Cricetulus griseus: one gene and its partner. The protein of the gene in region 2 purifies or fractionates together with the protein of the main gene of each other region. This does not show direct contact. Links are inferred from orthologs where the notes say so. Each region holds a gene or a part of one and is shown on either strand. Other genes may lie near its edges.

Region 1 (7,662 bases), on a different chromosome or scaffold from region 2:
CACTTTCAGTGGTTTATGTCATTACCCTTAATTTCTGTCTTAAAGATAACAGGTTTTTGTTTCTCCCAAATCAGCCTAATAACTGATTTTTATGTAGATCATAAACACACACACAGAGCAATGAAAGACAGAGTATAACTTAATCATTATTGGTATATTGGTTACACTTGTGATATTCACTAACAAAATATCTCTCATCTTAAAATTTCGTAAATCCTTTCCCCAAACTCCTGAACTAGTTTATTATACAATCTAGAATGCAAATATAGGCCAGATATTGGCATACTTGAGACCTCAAAAGAATGAATGAATAAATAATTGTCCATGCAGGGCCATGGTAACTCGAATCTGTAACGTCAGCACTTGGGAGGCAGAAACAGGAAGACTGGGACAAATACAAGGCCAGCCTCACCTACACAGTGTGTTTCAGGATAGCCAGGATTACATCACAGTGAAATCTTGTCTTAAAACTAAGAAAAAGGATTTAAAAAATTATTTTCCTTGCCATTTACTAGTCATTCCTCTTCTCCCTCTTGAAGTCTTCCCTAGCTCTCTTCTGTGCTAATAATTCTTTCTCTTTTTTATAATATTTACTTAGATTCTTGGGAGAGGGTGACACATAGAGACCAGAGAATATGCAGGTCCCAGGGATGGAACTCATCATCAAGGTAGCAGCTGAGCTATCTATCTCACTGGTGCACTGGTCATTTTCTTATATGTCTCTTCTATAGTAGTATTCCAAAAGAGCCAACAACAACAAATGACACTCCCCTGAAATCGTACTTCTCTGATCCATGCAGCTGTGTGTGTGTGTGTGTGTGTGTGTGTGTGTGTGTGTGTGTGTGTGTGTGTGTGTGTCTTGTGTATTATATCACAGGCTCTTGAGGTTAAGGCTTACATCCCTAAGTCCCAGCATAACTAAAATGCTTACTTAAAAATGATTTACAACACCTGCAATGTGCTTTGGTTAGCTGTCCAAATTTTTTACATACTTAGCCACACTACTACCTTAATACGTAGTAAAAATGACCTTTTTATACTACTTTACAAAAGGAGAAACAAATTAAAAGTCTGAATAACATCAAATTTTTGTCATCTAGTTCATCTTCAAGATCTTCTTACAGTATTAAAAAAATATAAGTAACACAGGCTGAAGAGACTGATTAGTTAAGAACATGTACTGTTTCTAGCAGAAAACTGGAGTTCAATTCCCAGCACCACATCAGAGGCTCACAACTTTTTGTAACTCCAACTCCAAGGAATGGCTCTACCCCAGTGGTTCCCAATCTAGGGGTCGAGACCCTACCATTTATAACAGTAGTACAGTTATGAAGAGACAACAAAAATAATTTTATGGCTGGGGGCCACCACAAGATGAAGAATTGTATTAAAGGGTCATAGCATTAGGAAGGTTAAGAACCACTGCTCTAACCTCAAACACACACATACAAATAAATAATATTTAAATATATGTAACAAAGCCGGACGTTGGTGGTGCACACCTTAATCCCAGCACTCTGGAAGCAGAGTCAGGCAGATCTCTGTGAGTTCGAGGCCAGCCTGGTCTACAGAAGGAGTGCCAGGATAGGCTCCAAAGCTACACAGAGAATGTTGTGGAATTTGGGGAGGCCCGTAGAGGGCCCTACCCTCTATGGGGAGTGGAGGGAGGAGGGGGCTGGGGGAGAAGTTGGGGGGGGAGAAGGGACTGACATGTGAAATTATAATTTTGTAAAAAGAAAAAATTGCCGAGCGTTGGTGGTGCACGCCTTTAATCCCAGCACTCGGGAGGCAGAGACAGGCGGATCTCTGTGAGTTGGAGGCCAGCCTGGTCTCCAGAGCCAGTGCCAGGATCGGCTCCAAAGCTACACAGAGAAACCCTGTCTCGAAAAACGAAAAACCAAATACATACATACATACATACATACATACATACATACAAAACAAATATAGGAAACTCCTCAAATAGTACAGGTTTACAAACCTCCCTAGTCTAGTAAATCCATGGGGGGGGTTGTTGTTTTGGTTTTGGTTTTTTGGTTTTTCGAGACAAGGTTTCTCTGTAGCTTTAGAGGCTGTCCTGGAACTCACTCTGTAGGCCAGGCTGGTCTCAAACTAACAGAGATCCACCTGCCTCTGCCTCCAGAGTGCTCGCCGCCTACGCCACCGTCCAACACCAGGCTGATTAAATCCAAGTTCTTTACGGATGCCAGGAAAACTAACTAGGAACCCAATTCAACTTTGCTCTACTAAACCAATTTTGTCCTGCAGAGTCGGTGACTTGGGGAAGGGGCTGCCAACACAGCAAGTATGAACTGTTCCCAACTTCTTAAAGAAGTACAAAAGTCTGGACCAGTAAGATGGCTCTATGATTAGACTGCTCGTCTGAGTTCAGTCTTCAGAAACCACAAAGGAAGATGGAACCAACTCTTAAAATTTGTTCCCTGACCTTTTTCACGCAAGTACTGTGGCACCTGTGCACCTGCAATCACATGCATTACACACACACAATAAAATTAATGTAAAATTCTACCAAGATACTATGACTTCTGCTTAGCACAAATGAAAAAGAACATCTCAGCATAAAACCACAGTCTTACAAAACTTGGAACTTAGAATGCATTTTGCAAGAGCCATGTGACACACACATGATGACAAGTCAGCTAAACTGATGGATAGACCTTTCATGGGGAAACACTTAGCGGTAATTGATCAAGCAACAAATTCAGCTTTAAGGCTATGCTGGCTTCTCTTATCAAAAAAAAAAAAAAAAAATCCACTCCCTTAAAGATTTCTGACACTAAAGAGAACAAAAATGCCATCTCTTCAAGTTAACTTTCATATATAAAAGTATAGGAGGATTTTAGGTGCAGTTCAAAAGAGCCCAACAATGTCTACTCAAGAAAAGAGATCACCAGTTCCCATGAAAGGTGCCAGGTGTGTCACATCTGCTATAGTGACTTCTTGAGTAAGCAAGAAAAAGGAATGCATTAACTTTTCATGACACGTCATGGAACCTCATTCCCTATCTACAGGCTTTCAACTAGGTAATCTAAAACCTACAGCTCTATCAAAGCTCTTTTCCAATTTGTGAGCAAACTCGTACTTTAAGTTGGCGGTGCCAGGAAGACATTTTTAATTTTAGTTGTTGTTATTGTTGACCTACTGAAAACAAAAGGTGACTTGGAGACTTAGGTGTCCTCTAAAACAAAAATTTCACAAATGCCCAGGATTGTAGAAGGACCATGGCTCACACTCTTTAAAGAACTCCTCAGGAGACAAGCCCAAAAGGAAACTAAACATTGTAAATACCTTCTCACCATCTCCTCAACCCACGCAGTCCCGAGAAACATCCATATTACCTGAAACCCGCCGGGGAGAGAGCTGTAACAAGCTGAGGATTTACAAGGAAAGCTGGTTTCCTCGCTGCCGAGGCTGACAGCTCCGCAGAGCCGGCGCAGGGTCTGACAGTGCCCTCTAGCAGAGCTCTCCCACCTACCTCCCTTAAAAACAAGTCCTCCTCCAGCCGTCACTGCCTCCCAGAGACGCGCCCCTCCTGGCCGCTGTCCGAGGCCGATTCCCCAACGCCCGGCCGCGGCACACAGCTCCCCGCCGGCTCCCCGGCCCCTGCCCCGGAGGCCCGACCCCTCCCCGCCGCGGCCCTCGGCCGTCAGACAATGGGGCCCTGGGGCCGCTCCGCCTCGCTCGCCCGGCCGACCTTCCCGCTGCCGCGCAGCGAGCCTCCCGGTGGCCTTCACCCCCCGGCCGGACGCCCTCACCCCCAGCCCGCCCCGGCTCTCCTGCACTCACTATTCGGGATTCATGCTGGACATGTCACTGCAGCTGCCGCCGCCGCCACCGCCCTTGCTGACGCAGCCGCCGCCCCGACTCTCCGCGCCACGGGTAATGGAAGGGAAGGAATGAGCTAAGCTGTTCCGGTAGAGCAAACGTCGACCCCACTCCGACCCTTAGAACACAATCAGCAGCCGCCGCCACTCAGTGATCGCTTCCACCCAAAATGGCCGCCGGCGAACCAGGAACTAGGGAAGCCTAGGCCAAGGGGCCTGTCGCGGCCCAGAGGGCGGCCGCGTCGCGCGGCACGCCGGGAAATAGAGTCGTGAGCGCACCGCACGCTGGCCAGCCTGACGGGGCCGAGGACAGCTTGCACTCAGCTTCCCACCAGGCCCCGCGCCCCGCACGCGTGCGCACCTGCGAGCTTGTCGTCCGCCCCGTCCCGATTCCCTCACCCCACACCCCGCCCTTCCTGCTCCCCTCCCCTCTGGCTTGCTGGCTAGGACTTCGCTCGGACTCCCCCTAGCGGATTGGCTAAGGCCGAGCGGGCTGTGTTGATGTCATCAGTGAGACGTGGCAGCTGGGCGAGTCGGCGCCCCACGGGAAGGGGAGGGGAAGGAACCCGGCGGAGGGCGGTGCCGCATCCGAGGGGGTGGGGGCTCCTGGGGACTCCAGGACAGAGTGAGGAGGGGCCATTGGGGCTGGAAGGGAGGTATGAGGACCACCTCCCTGCTCTGGCGCGACCCTGGGGGCCATCCACACGAGCCTCCGGACAGCTCTAAGAACAGAAGGAAAGTCAAGCCGCCTCTGTGGATCTTGCGCTTCTTATTCACCCGATCCGTTCTTTTCTCATTTTTTAAAAACCATTTTACTTTAGCAACCTGACATTGCAGTAGCTGCAAATGGACCCTGCTTTTGTCTCTTTTCTGCCGCCCCCCACCCCAGTCCACTTGCACATACAGCCAGATTTATCTTTCTGAAACTGCGACTCCATCATGACCTCCCAACCTTCAAAGGCTCCGCATTGTGTGGTTGAGACACAGGCTAGAGTCAGCCTAAACCAGTCTGCCTACTTGAGGCCTAGACTTATAAAGTTGAATTGTTGGGGGTTTTGTTTTTGTTTTTTCAGGTCTGCTGTTGTTTTTGTTTGTTTTATTAGTTAGTACTTAATTCTGTATCGTTCTGCAAAATTGGGCAGTAACAAGTAATTTTTTTCTTTCTTTTTGTTTTTTTGGTTTTTCGAGACAGGGTTTCTCTGCGTAGCTTTGGAGCTTATCCTGGGACTCGCTCTGGAGACCACGCTGGCCTCGAACTCACAGAGATCCTCCTGTCTCTGCTTTCCTAGTGCTGGGATTAAAGGCGTGCGCTACCAAAGCCCGACAACAAGTGATTTTTTTTTTCAAGCCATGCAATTCTTCACTACAGACTCCAGAACTAATATTAATACATTTTTAGACCTTATGCTCTTAACTTTAATCAGCTCAGGAATTTAAATGTTGACTAAACTTTAACACATTATCTTCGGTTATTTATTACAAAGGGCATAGTATAATACACTGTCCAAAGTTTATCTTCCAACTTGTTCTAAGCAAGAATATTATCTCCTGAGACCGACTGCAGAATTACTTTAAATTTCTGTGACATCAAAATAAGCAAAAGAGGCTGTTGTCATTTCTAACCAGATACTCAGTACCTCTTTACATGCCCCACCACCACCACCACCCTTCATGTGCCTTGATTGACAGCCTCATCAGATTATATATAGGTTTTGGGATTAGGGGTTTTTTTGTTTTTATTGTTGGTTTTGGGTTTTTTTTGAGACGGGTTTCTCTGTGTAGCCCAGGCTGTCCTGGAGCTCACTCTGTAGACCTCAAATTCAGTAATCCTCCCTCCTCTGTGATAGAATCAAAGGCCTGTGACATCCCCAGCGCCATCACGATGTCCCATAAGGGTTCTTTTACATGTTAACTTCTCAAATGGACTTGGTCACCACCCAAAAATTACCCTAGATGAAAAATGAAGCACCACAAGTGTGTAGCCCTGGACCCTGAAGCCTATAATATTTCCTGCTCATTGTCATTTTACAAAATAAAACCTCAGAAGTAGCCCCAAACTCAATTTTTCAAGCAAAATTTTATTTTGGTTTTTGTTTTGCTTTTTTTTTGTTGGTTTTTTTTTGGGGGGGGAGGGGTGGATTTGCCATTTAAACCCAGTGTGGCAGAGCATATCTTTAATCCCAGCACTTGAAGGCAGAGACAATTGAGTTTGAAGCCATCCTGGTCTACATAGTAAATTCCAGGAGAGCCAGGACTACATAGTGAGAGTGGTCTCAACCACCCCCCCTAAATAATCTGTCATTTAATTTTAATTTTATGTATATGAATGCTTTCCTGTATGTGTATGTATGTGCATGTTGTGGTGTGTGTGCCTGGTGCCCTCAGAGATCAGAAGAGAGTATTCGATCCCTGAAACTGGAGTTACAGATTGTTGTGAGTCATCATGTGGGTGCTGGGAACTCAACATGAGTCCCCAGCAAGAACAAAAAGTGCCCTTCGTGGATGAACCATCTATCCAGCCCAAGCTGGGTTTTTATTGATGATATTTTAATATAAACTCAAGCATAAATGTTAAGGGAGACTGCAGACTCTCAGAAAGAAAAGCACACTACAGAGCATGAATGTTGGCTTCTCTAAGAGATACTACCACCAAAACTCCATTTTTTTATCTGTCTGTCTCCTTGGAAGTTAATTTCCTCAACTTTCTTTCATTAACTATTTCGTTTCCTAACAAATTATCTAGTAACATAACCTAAGTGGCAAACAAAACAGTGTGAAGTATATAGCACAATTCCTCCTTGACACCCCTAAAGCTTAACTGTACCTGCTGTATAAAGAGGACAGGAAACTTCATGTCTTAGTTACTGTTATAACATGTAAATGGATTAGAAACAGTCATGGCTATAGAGTGGTGAGTGCCAGCTTCCTAGATCCTACTGCAACACAGGTGTCACTTATATTAAGATTCCTTCCCACAGGGTAGGAATCCCAGCACTTTAATCCTAACACTCTGGAGATAGAGGCAGGCCTCTGTGAGTTCCAGAACAGCCTAATCAACAAAGTGAGTTGCAGGACAGCCAGAGCTACACAATGAAACCCTGTCTCAACCCCCACTCCCCCCCACACACACCTAAAAAAGATTCCTTCCCATGGAACTGAAGAGATGGCTCAGAAGTTGTAAACAATTACTGCCCTTGTAGAGGACCCAGGTTTGGCTCCCAGACCCCACATGGTAACTCATAGCCATCTATAACTAGTTCCATACAACAACACAAAGCCTTCTTCTGGCCTCTTCAGGGACTGCATTCAGGTGATGTACATACATACATACATACATACATACATACATACATACATACATACAGTCAAAACACTCATATAAAAAAAGTAAATAGCTGGGTGGTGGTGGCTCGACTCAGGAAACAGAAACTCACAGGCAGATCTGTGAGTTTGAGGACAGCCTGATCTATAGAGCTAGGGCTACACAGAGAAGTAGCCTAGAAGAGCCATCTTGTCTGGAAAGACCAAAAATAAACAAAATAATAATTAAGTACTTCCTTTACAAACTTAGATGTGTGTTTTTCTCTCCTCACCCCGCCGCACCCCAGACAAGGTCTCACTTTGTAGCTCTGGCTGTCTTGAAACTCACTCTGTAGACTAGACTGCCCTTGAACTCACAGAGGTCTGCCTGCCTCTGCCTCCCAAGTGCTGGGATTGAAGATGTGCACTACTATGTCCATCTCTTAGATGTTTCTTAAAATAATTTCCCTCTCCCTTCTTCCCTCCCTTCTGCCCTCCCTTCTCCTCCCCCCTCCTC
Region 2 (7,616 bases):
ATTCATGGGGACTTTTTTTCCCATCTTGGGCAGTGTTCATGTGTACTTGCTGCAAGTGTTCATAAGTTTAGGGAGATGGAACATCAGGGCTAGGGACTTTCAGCTCACAGGGCACCCAGTGGGAAGGGAGACTGTTACAATGGATTAGGCTTTGTTTTTAGGGCTGTTGAGAGAAGGCTTGTTGGATATTTCTGCAGGTGGTCCGTGATGTACCCATGGTGGCTGAGGGTCTAGGTCGACAGCTGCTTCAGACTCAGGTGGCATCACATGTGATCCATCCTCCTGTGAGTTACAATGACACTGCCCCAAGGATCCTGTTCTGGGCACAAAACTTCTCTGTGGCATACAAAGACGAGTGGAAAGACTTGACTTCCCTCACCTTTGGTGTGGAGAAACTTAACTTGACTGGCTCCTTCTGGAACGACTCCTTTGCCATGTAAGGACACTAGGCAGGGAAGGAAGGACTGTGTTATCACATATGGCCTTCTTGCCACTGTGAGCCCAGTACAGGGCAAGAATGTAGATCAGGTGTGTCTATGTTGGGGGTGAAGAAGGTCTGTTCACCAAGGACTTGAAGATAGTATCACGGGGTAATGTTACTGGGAGGTTACTGGAGAGGAAGCCTCACAAGTTTTACCTTTCCATGCTTTTTAGGCCTTGGTTGTTGGGTTCTGGGTTATTACCCTCACACAGTCCCTTGGAACCCTAGCGCTTCTTTGAACTCAACCCCTGGGACTACATGTGAGCAAATAGCAGACCAGCCGCCAAAACCAGTTCTAGGCTTCCTATACCTGAAACCTCAGCAGGCAGCTGAATAACCTTAAGAAGGGGATGAAAGAGGCTCAGGGGACTCAGGAGAACCAGAGGAAGGAATCCTAAGCTGGAGATCTGGGACCTAGGTGCAGATCCCCCAACTGTTCCTGATTTGCTTATGACTGGAGCCTTAGTTTTCCCATCAGATAAATGGGGACACTGTATTGGCAGGTGACTGTAAGGATGGATTTAGGACAGCTTAGATTGGACCCAGCCTGAGGAGAACCATACTCTAGGTCCTTCTAGAGCCTGACAGCACCCCTCTGCCTTGTCCCACAGGCTTTCACTGACCTATGAACCACTCTTTGGTGCAATGGTGACATTCAAGTAAGTTCTGGTGGTTGAAGTGTGGCTTGGCTGGTATGTCTCCATTGTCTTCTGTTCATCTGACAATCTCTGCTACCCTCACCTCCCAGGTTCATTCTGGCTAGTCGCTTCTACCCAGTGTCTGCCCGATACTGGTTTACTATGGAACGACTTGAAATCCACAGCAATGGCTCTGTTTCCCATTTCAATGTTTCCCAAGTCACGGGACCCAGCATCTATTCTTTCCACTGTGAGTATGTCAGCAGTCTGAGCAAGAAAGGCAATCTCCTTGTGACCAACGTGCCCTCACTCTGGCAGATGACTCTTCAGGACTTCCAGGTATTAAAGGGGGAATGGGCTCCAAGCTGGTGGCAGTAGGGGGAGGGAAGAAGAGCCCAGAGAATTTCAGTATGGCTTGAGCATGTAGCTGAGAGTTCCATCCTTATGCTGTCTCTGAAGGTCTAGACTGTTCACTGATTCCAGAACCCCAGCCCTTGTTGTCTGTAGAAACTTGTGGTCCCTTCTGATCCATGTCTATGTGTCTCCTAGATCCAGGCCTTCAATGTGACGGGTGAGCAGTTCTCCTATGCTAGCGACTGTGCTGGCTTCTTCTCTCCAGGCATCTGGATGGGGCTGCTCACCACCCTCTTCATGCTTTTCATCTTCACCTATGGCCTGCACATGATACTCAGCCTCAAGACCATGGATCGTTTTGACGACCACAAGGGCCCCACCATCACTTTGACACAGATTGTGTGACCTGTGCCAGAGAGAGATTGAGGGAGTGTTGGTGTCTAGGTTGTCATGTTTGCATCTTGTGGCATAGTGGATAGAAAGTTTTTTTTCTCTTCGATAGCATGAACCCTGCAGTACCCTCAGCCTGTCTTGCTTCCTCTTCAACCTACTGAGGGACTGGCTTCCCTGGGGCTATCCCCCATCTCTACCAACAAAGTGTATATATTCTTCATAGATATTAGACAAATCTTCCAGGCTCCATCATCATGAGGGGAAGGAACATTAATTCTAGGGTTCCCTTTCTCCCTTTCCCCCTTATTTATTCTTGCCCCTCCGCTACTTGCTGTTTATAGTGCTTCTGTGTAATTAATGCTCACTCCCCAAGCTTTATGAATCTTCCAGCAACAGCAATAAACTTGAGGTTCCTTGAGTTTGAGATGTATGGAAAGACTACTTAACTGTCTGTCCAGCTTGGCTGTTGTGTTTTTTGGGTGACATGTTAAGAATGATCTGTACACTGGGGTTTATTTCTGTAGCCTGAGAAAGAAGAGACCTCCACAAGGCTTATTCCCACTAGGATTGTCTGCCAAGAGATGGGGATGGGGGTACTCTTTTTGTTTCCCTTCCTAATAAAATAAAGACGTGTTGTCATATGTGTTGGGCTTCGGCTTTGAGTCACTCATTTCTGCACTTGACAGTAGATTTGTTTTTGACTGAGGGGAAGAAGTGCCCAGGTGTAGTCCTAACAGGTGAGAGGGGAAGGGTGGGAGAGTCTTCATCAAGCTGATTGATACTCTTAACGAGTTAAGGTAGAGGCCCATTATTTCTCCTGGCCTTGGGGAGAGTCCTTACAATGAAAGATACAGGCAACTGCAAATACCACAGGGCCTTGCTGTTTCTCCCAGAGGGGCGGTATGGGATCGCGCCAGGAGGGATGGGACGGGGCGGGGCGCTCTCGGCTCCCGCGCATGGATCTTCGCGGGACGCAGCACCTGCCACGGACCCGCCCCGCCCCGCATTTCTCTGGGCTCGCGAAGATCTGCGTTGCCCCCGAAATTGTACTGGTGCGGAGACTCAGGCGCTGGAAGCCCTTCCAGAAAATAAGCGGGAGAAACGGTGGCATCGCTAGGGTGTGGCAGGGCCCGAGGAGGGAGAGGGACTCTTTGACGCGGCGGAAGGATCTGGAGACGACTGATAGCCGCCATCTTTGGTTCAGTGCGGTGGCAGCGGCGGCGGCGGCAGTGGCTGCTGTGGTGAAGGAGGAGGAGGAGCCGAGCGGGCGTTGGTACCAAGGCCTGACCATGGACGAGGAATACGATGTGATAGTACTGGGGACAGGTCTTACCGTAAGTGTCACCCTAGGCACTCATAGCCCTGTAGCATGCCTTTCCCATCCCCCGCGGTGATGCAGAGCCCTGGTCACCGGTCTCATTCTCCCATCATTGCTTTCCTGGCTCTGGTCCTGGCAAAGCCAACCCCGCTCCCACCCCACTGCCTCACCCTAGGATGTCGACTCGACGGCGCTGCCATCTTCTTGCTTCCCCGTAGAGGACCCTGTTTCAGCCTGTATCCCTGCACCCTAGGACCCCTTCATCGTCCCTATCTGTGTCACCGAGGTGGAAAACTACCCCCCCCCCGGACCGGTTGTGCCCAGCCCCCACCCTTCACCTGCTTAGCATCCTTGATTAGCATCTCTTACCATTTTGTGGTGATCACACTAGGGCATTGAGTATAAAGGTATGGGTATGGGGGCATTCCAAGGGTGGGTTCTCATCCTGCCTTTTTGCCTTTTGAGAGGGGACGGTAATTCAGGGAATGTTCCAGAAGCAGCAGTAGTGGGGGTAGTTACGACATTCCCTCTACCCCAGTCTGGTTTCCCATGGAGATCTCAGGCTGAATATATCCTCTGCCTTTGTCCTTGGGCTAGTGACAGTGATTGGTTGTTGGTTTGCACCCTGAGTCTGGACCGGTAGATAGGGCTGGAGGGTCAGGGGCTCCTGCCTTTGTAGGAGGAGCAGCCCAGGGTGGGGTCTGGGATTTCATTTGAATTGGTTCTTCTCCAGACTCGTTACCTTTTTGTGGGCTCAGAGCAGGCAGATACTTACTTGGCTTGTGGGTACTAGAAGACTGTCCTTGGGTCTGCTGGAAGCTCTGCCTCCCTAAGCCTCATTTAATGCTCTGGCATTTCACCGTCTTGCCTAACAGGGTTATAAAGGAAACATCGAATGAAGCCATTTCCCCTCTCTCCAGTTTTAGGTGCTACAAGAGGCAGGGATTTATGTTACAAAATTTATGTCGGGTTTGAGTCAGGGACAAACCAGGGATGCAGGTCAGAAGGCAGATGGGAGTGTAGCTGCAAATGCCACCCCTCCCCCAGGAATGCATCTTGTCTGGCATCATGTCTGTGAATGGAAAGAAGGTGCTGCACATGGACCGGAACCCTTACTATGGGGGTGAGAGCTCTTCCATCACACCCCTGGAAGAGGTAAGGCTTCTTGGACTTGAGCTAAGACCCAGACCCCTTTTTAGTCTCTCACATAGGGGCATGGGGGCAAAGTAGTTCCCAGGTGCTGGGCTGGAGAATGGGAGAGGGATAGGTGGTCCTTGACATTTTTCTTTCTTTCTGTCCTGTTTACAGCTATATAAACGTTTTCAGTTGCTGGAAGGGCCCCCTGAGTCAATGGGCCGGGGCCGAGACTGGAATGTTGACTTGATCCCCAAATTTCTCATGGCCAATGGTGAGGGAGATTAAGAAGATAATGTATATGGTGATTGGTGGGTGGTGGTGATTGGGAAGACCAGAGGGGAGGTTCAAGCTCCAGAATAAGGTCAGTCAGACAACTGAGAGATTTTTGAAGGGAGCTACACTGACATCCCTAATCCTCTCTGGACACAGGTCAGCTGGTAAAGATGCTGCTGTATACAGAAGTGACTCGTTATCTGGACTTCAAGGTGGTTGAGGGCAGCTTTGTATACAAGGGAGGCAAGATCTACAAAGTACCATCCACTGAGACTGAGGCCTTGGCTTCTAGTAAGTATGAGTCTCCTTAGCCAGAGAATAATGGGACAGGAGGAAGCAGACTATTCTCAAGATAGTTAGGCAAAAGGCTCCCATTTGCCTAAGCCTAATCTTAGCTCTATGTAATACCAGAGGCCCCTTGCTTTATAGTACCTTTATTGGAATGTGCTACCCATCCTGGCAAGTTACCAGAAAGGAAGCTCATTGAGGAGGATTTCTTTTTGGCAGAGGGCCTACTTGACCCCCATTGCATCCCCAAGTGGAGCTAGGAGTGCCTCTTCCTACAAATAGGAAAACTAAGGCCAAGAAGGGTGGGGCAGGGTTACATGACTGAGCTCTGGTGGGAGCCAGGACACCAACTTTCCTGGCCTGCTCTGGTGGAAAGAAGAGTTTTATGTCCCAGTAATACAAAAAGAGTCTTTTCAATACCCTTCCTTCAGATCTGATGGGCATGTTTGAAAAACGACGCTTCCGGAAATTCTTGGTGTTTGTGGCAAACTTTGATGAGAATGACCCCAAAACCTTTGAGGGTGTCGACCCCCAGACCACCAGCATGCGTGATGTCTACAGGAAGTTTGATCTGGGCCAAGATGTCATTGATTTCACTGGCCATGCCTTGGCGCTCTACCGCACTGATGAGTGAGGGGAAAGCTGGCTGGTGGCAGGAGCCCCTTTGTCTGCCTCACACTTTATCCTCCCCACACCTGCCTATTGTATCCACTGCCCACCCTGCATATCTCTTGTACTTGTCTATAAGTTCACCTGTTGCATTTCCATCCCTCTCTTCCATTTGACTCATATCTTTGCCAGGTCACAAAGGGTGGTGGGAAGGCGGATGGTGTCTTTGAAGGTGAGCAGGAGTGCTGCTGTCAAAGCATCTTCTCTTGTTCCCCAGCTACCTGGATCAGCCCTGTCTTGAGACTATTAACCGTATCAAGTTGTACAGTGAGTCCTTGGCCCGGTATGGCAAGAGCCCATATTTGTACCCACTCTATGGCCTGGGCGAGCTGCCCCAGGGCTTTGCAAGGTGAGGACCTTTTTTTCCCAAGCTGGCATTAGTGGGTATGACTAAGACCAATAAGCCTGGTGGTGGTGGCACAAGCCTTTAATCCCAGCATTTGGGAAGCAGATGCAGGCAGAGCTCTGTGAGTTCCAGGCCAAGCTGGTCTAGAGAGTGAGTTCTAGGACAGCCAAAGCTACATAGAGAAACACTCTTGAAAAACCAAAAATAAAATGAAATAAATAAAAGAATGGAAATTACCTCCTTGGGCTTTTTTTTTTTTTTCTTGAGACAGGGTTTCTCTGTATTTTTTTAGAGCCTGTCCTGGAACTTGCTCTATAGATCAGGCTGGCCTTGAACTCAGAGATCTACCTGCCTCTGCCTCCTGAGTGCTGGGATTAAAGGTGTGGGCCACCCCCCCCCGCCCCTCACCTCCCCACCCCCCCATTCCCCCCACCCCCGCTCTCCTTGAGCATTTTTGTGGCATCTTCTACTTTCCCATCTAAATCTTCATGTACATTGTTCCATCCCTGGTTAATGGGGGCACAGCCTTAGTACAGAGTAAAGGTGGAGAGTTGGCTCAGCAGATAAAAGCACTTGTTTTTACAGAGGACCCAGGTTTAATTCCAACAGCCACATGGTGGCCTACAACTGTCCATAACTCCAGTTTTAGGGAATCCTAACACCTTCATCTGACCTCCATAGGTTCCAAGCATGCATGTGGTCTACAGACATATGCCAAGAAAACACATACACGTAAAATAGTCAATGTAAATAATATACTTAAAAAGTAAAGGAAATACAAAGTAAAGGACCAGATGACCATGAAAATAGCTTTCCCAGTTCCTGGTAGTACCTGAACTAAGTCTAGGACCCCAGAACCTTGAATCTAAGATTCCCTGGAATCTGGCTCTTTGCCAGAGAGTCCTTTATTCGATTCCTGAGCCATTTCTATGTGAAGCTACACTCATTGGACTTTGCAGAATAGAATGTTCTGGATGGAAACTCCAGAGAGGAAGGTGTATGCCAAGATGGGCCCTCAGTTCATTCATAGGAGGGACACCTGAAACAGTTGGAGTTAAATTCTGTCTACCTGGGCAGTTTTCTCCATCTCATAGGTAGGGTGGGGAGAGTACAGTAGATTTGGTCCCCATTGTCCTAAGACTTCCCCATCATTTTCCTTACTATAGATTGAGTGCCATATATGGGGGAACATATATGCTGAACAAACCTGTGGATGAAATCATCATGGAGAATGGCAAGGTGGTGGGTGTGAAATCTGAGGGAGAGGTAAGCATATCCTGTGCATTTGTTACCATGGCTTGGGTAAGGTTTGGTCTTTTTTAGGGATATATTCATAGGGAGCCTTAATTGCTGGTGAATTTGCTGTTGCTGAACCCTGAGAGCCTCATAGCTAGGAACTGGGTGGTCAATAAAAGTCCACATAGCTATTCCTGTTGGCAAGAAGTATCCTTCACGACCTGGAGAGATGGCTCAGAGGTTAAGAGCACTGGCTATTCTTCCAGAGGTCCCAAGTTCAATTCCCAGCACCACATGATGGCTCACAACTATCTGTAATGAGATCTGGTCCCCTCTTCTGGCCTGCCGGCATACATGCAGGCGGAATGCTGTATACATAGTAAATAAATAAATCTTAAAAAGAAGTATCAAATTGCCAGGTGTGGTGGTACATTCTTGTAATCCCACTACTGGGGGTGGGGGCAGAGGCACATGGATTTAAAT

Evidence for each region. Proteins that work in one complex are often made in the same cells at the same time.
Region 1: the proteins of Gdi1 (region 2) and Rab1a purify together in Homo sapiens (affinity purification with mass spectrometry; 7 studies listed by BioGRID and IntAct, counting the BioPlex papers as one, with this or other methods). This does not show direct contact. The link is inferred for Cricetulus griseus from reciprocal best matches to the Homo sapiens genes GDI1 and RAB1A.

What each region holds. Positions count from the first base shown.
Region 1 is NW_023276807.1:86,286,467-86,294,128, forward strand, and holds the start of Rab1a (ras-related protein Rab-1A), read right to left. Parts: upstream 4,040-7,662; 5' UTR 3,831-4,039; coding exon 3,808-3,830; intron 1-3,807. UniProt on the Homo sapiens protein: The small GTPases Rab are key regulators of intracellular membrane trafficking, from the formation of transport vesicles to their fusion with membranes.
Region 2 is NC_048604.1:1,414,433-1,422,048, reverse strand, and holds the start of Gdi1 (rab GDP dissociation inhibitor alpha), read left to right. Parts: upstream 1-2,894; 5' UTR 2,895-3,155; coding exon 3,156-3,200; intron 3,201-3,359; exon of another isoform or gene 3,360-3,591; intron 3,592-4,231; coding exon 4,232-4,339; intron 4,340-4,492; coding exon 4,493-4,592; intron 4,593-4,750; coding exon 4,751-4,885; intron 4,886-5,313; coding exon 5,314-5,512; intron 5,513-5,768; coding exon 5,769-5,900; intron 5,901-7,063; coding exon 7,064-7,163; intron 7,164-7,616. Other genes in the region: Atp6ap1 (V-type proton ATPase subunit S1), read left to right, coding at 198-436, 1,093-1,140, 1,230-1,458, 1,669-1,878. UniProt on the Homo sapiens protein: Regulates the GDP/GTP exchange reaction of most Rab proteins by inhibiting the dissociation of GDP from them, and the subsequent binding of GTP to them. Promotes the dissociation of GDP-bound Rab proteins from the membrane and inhibits their activation.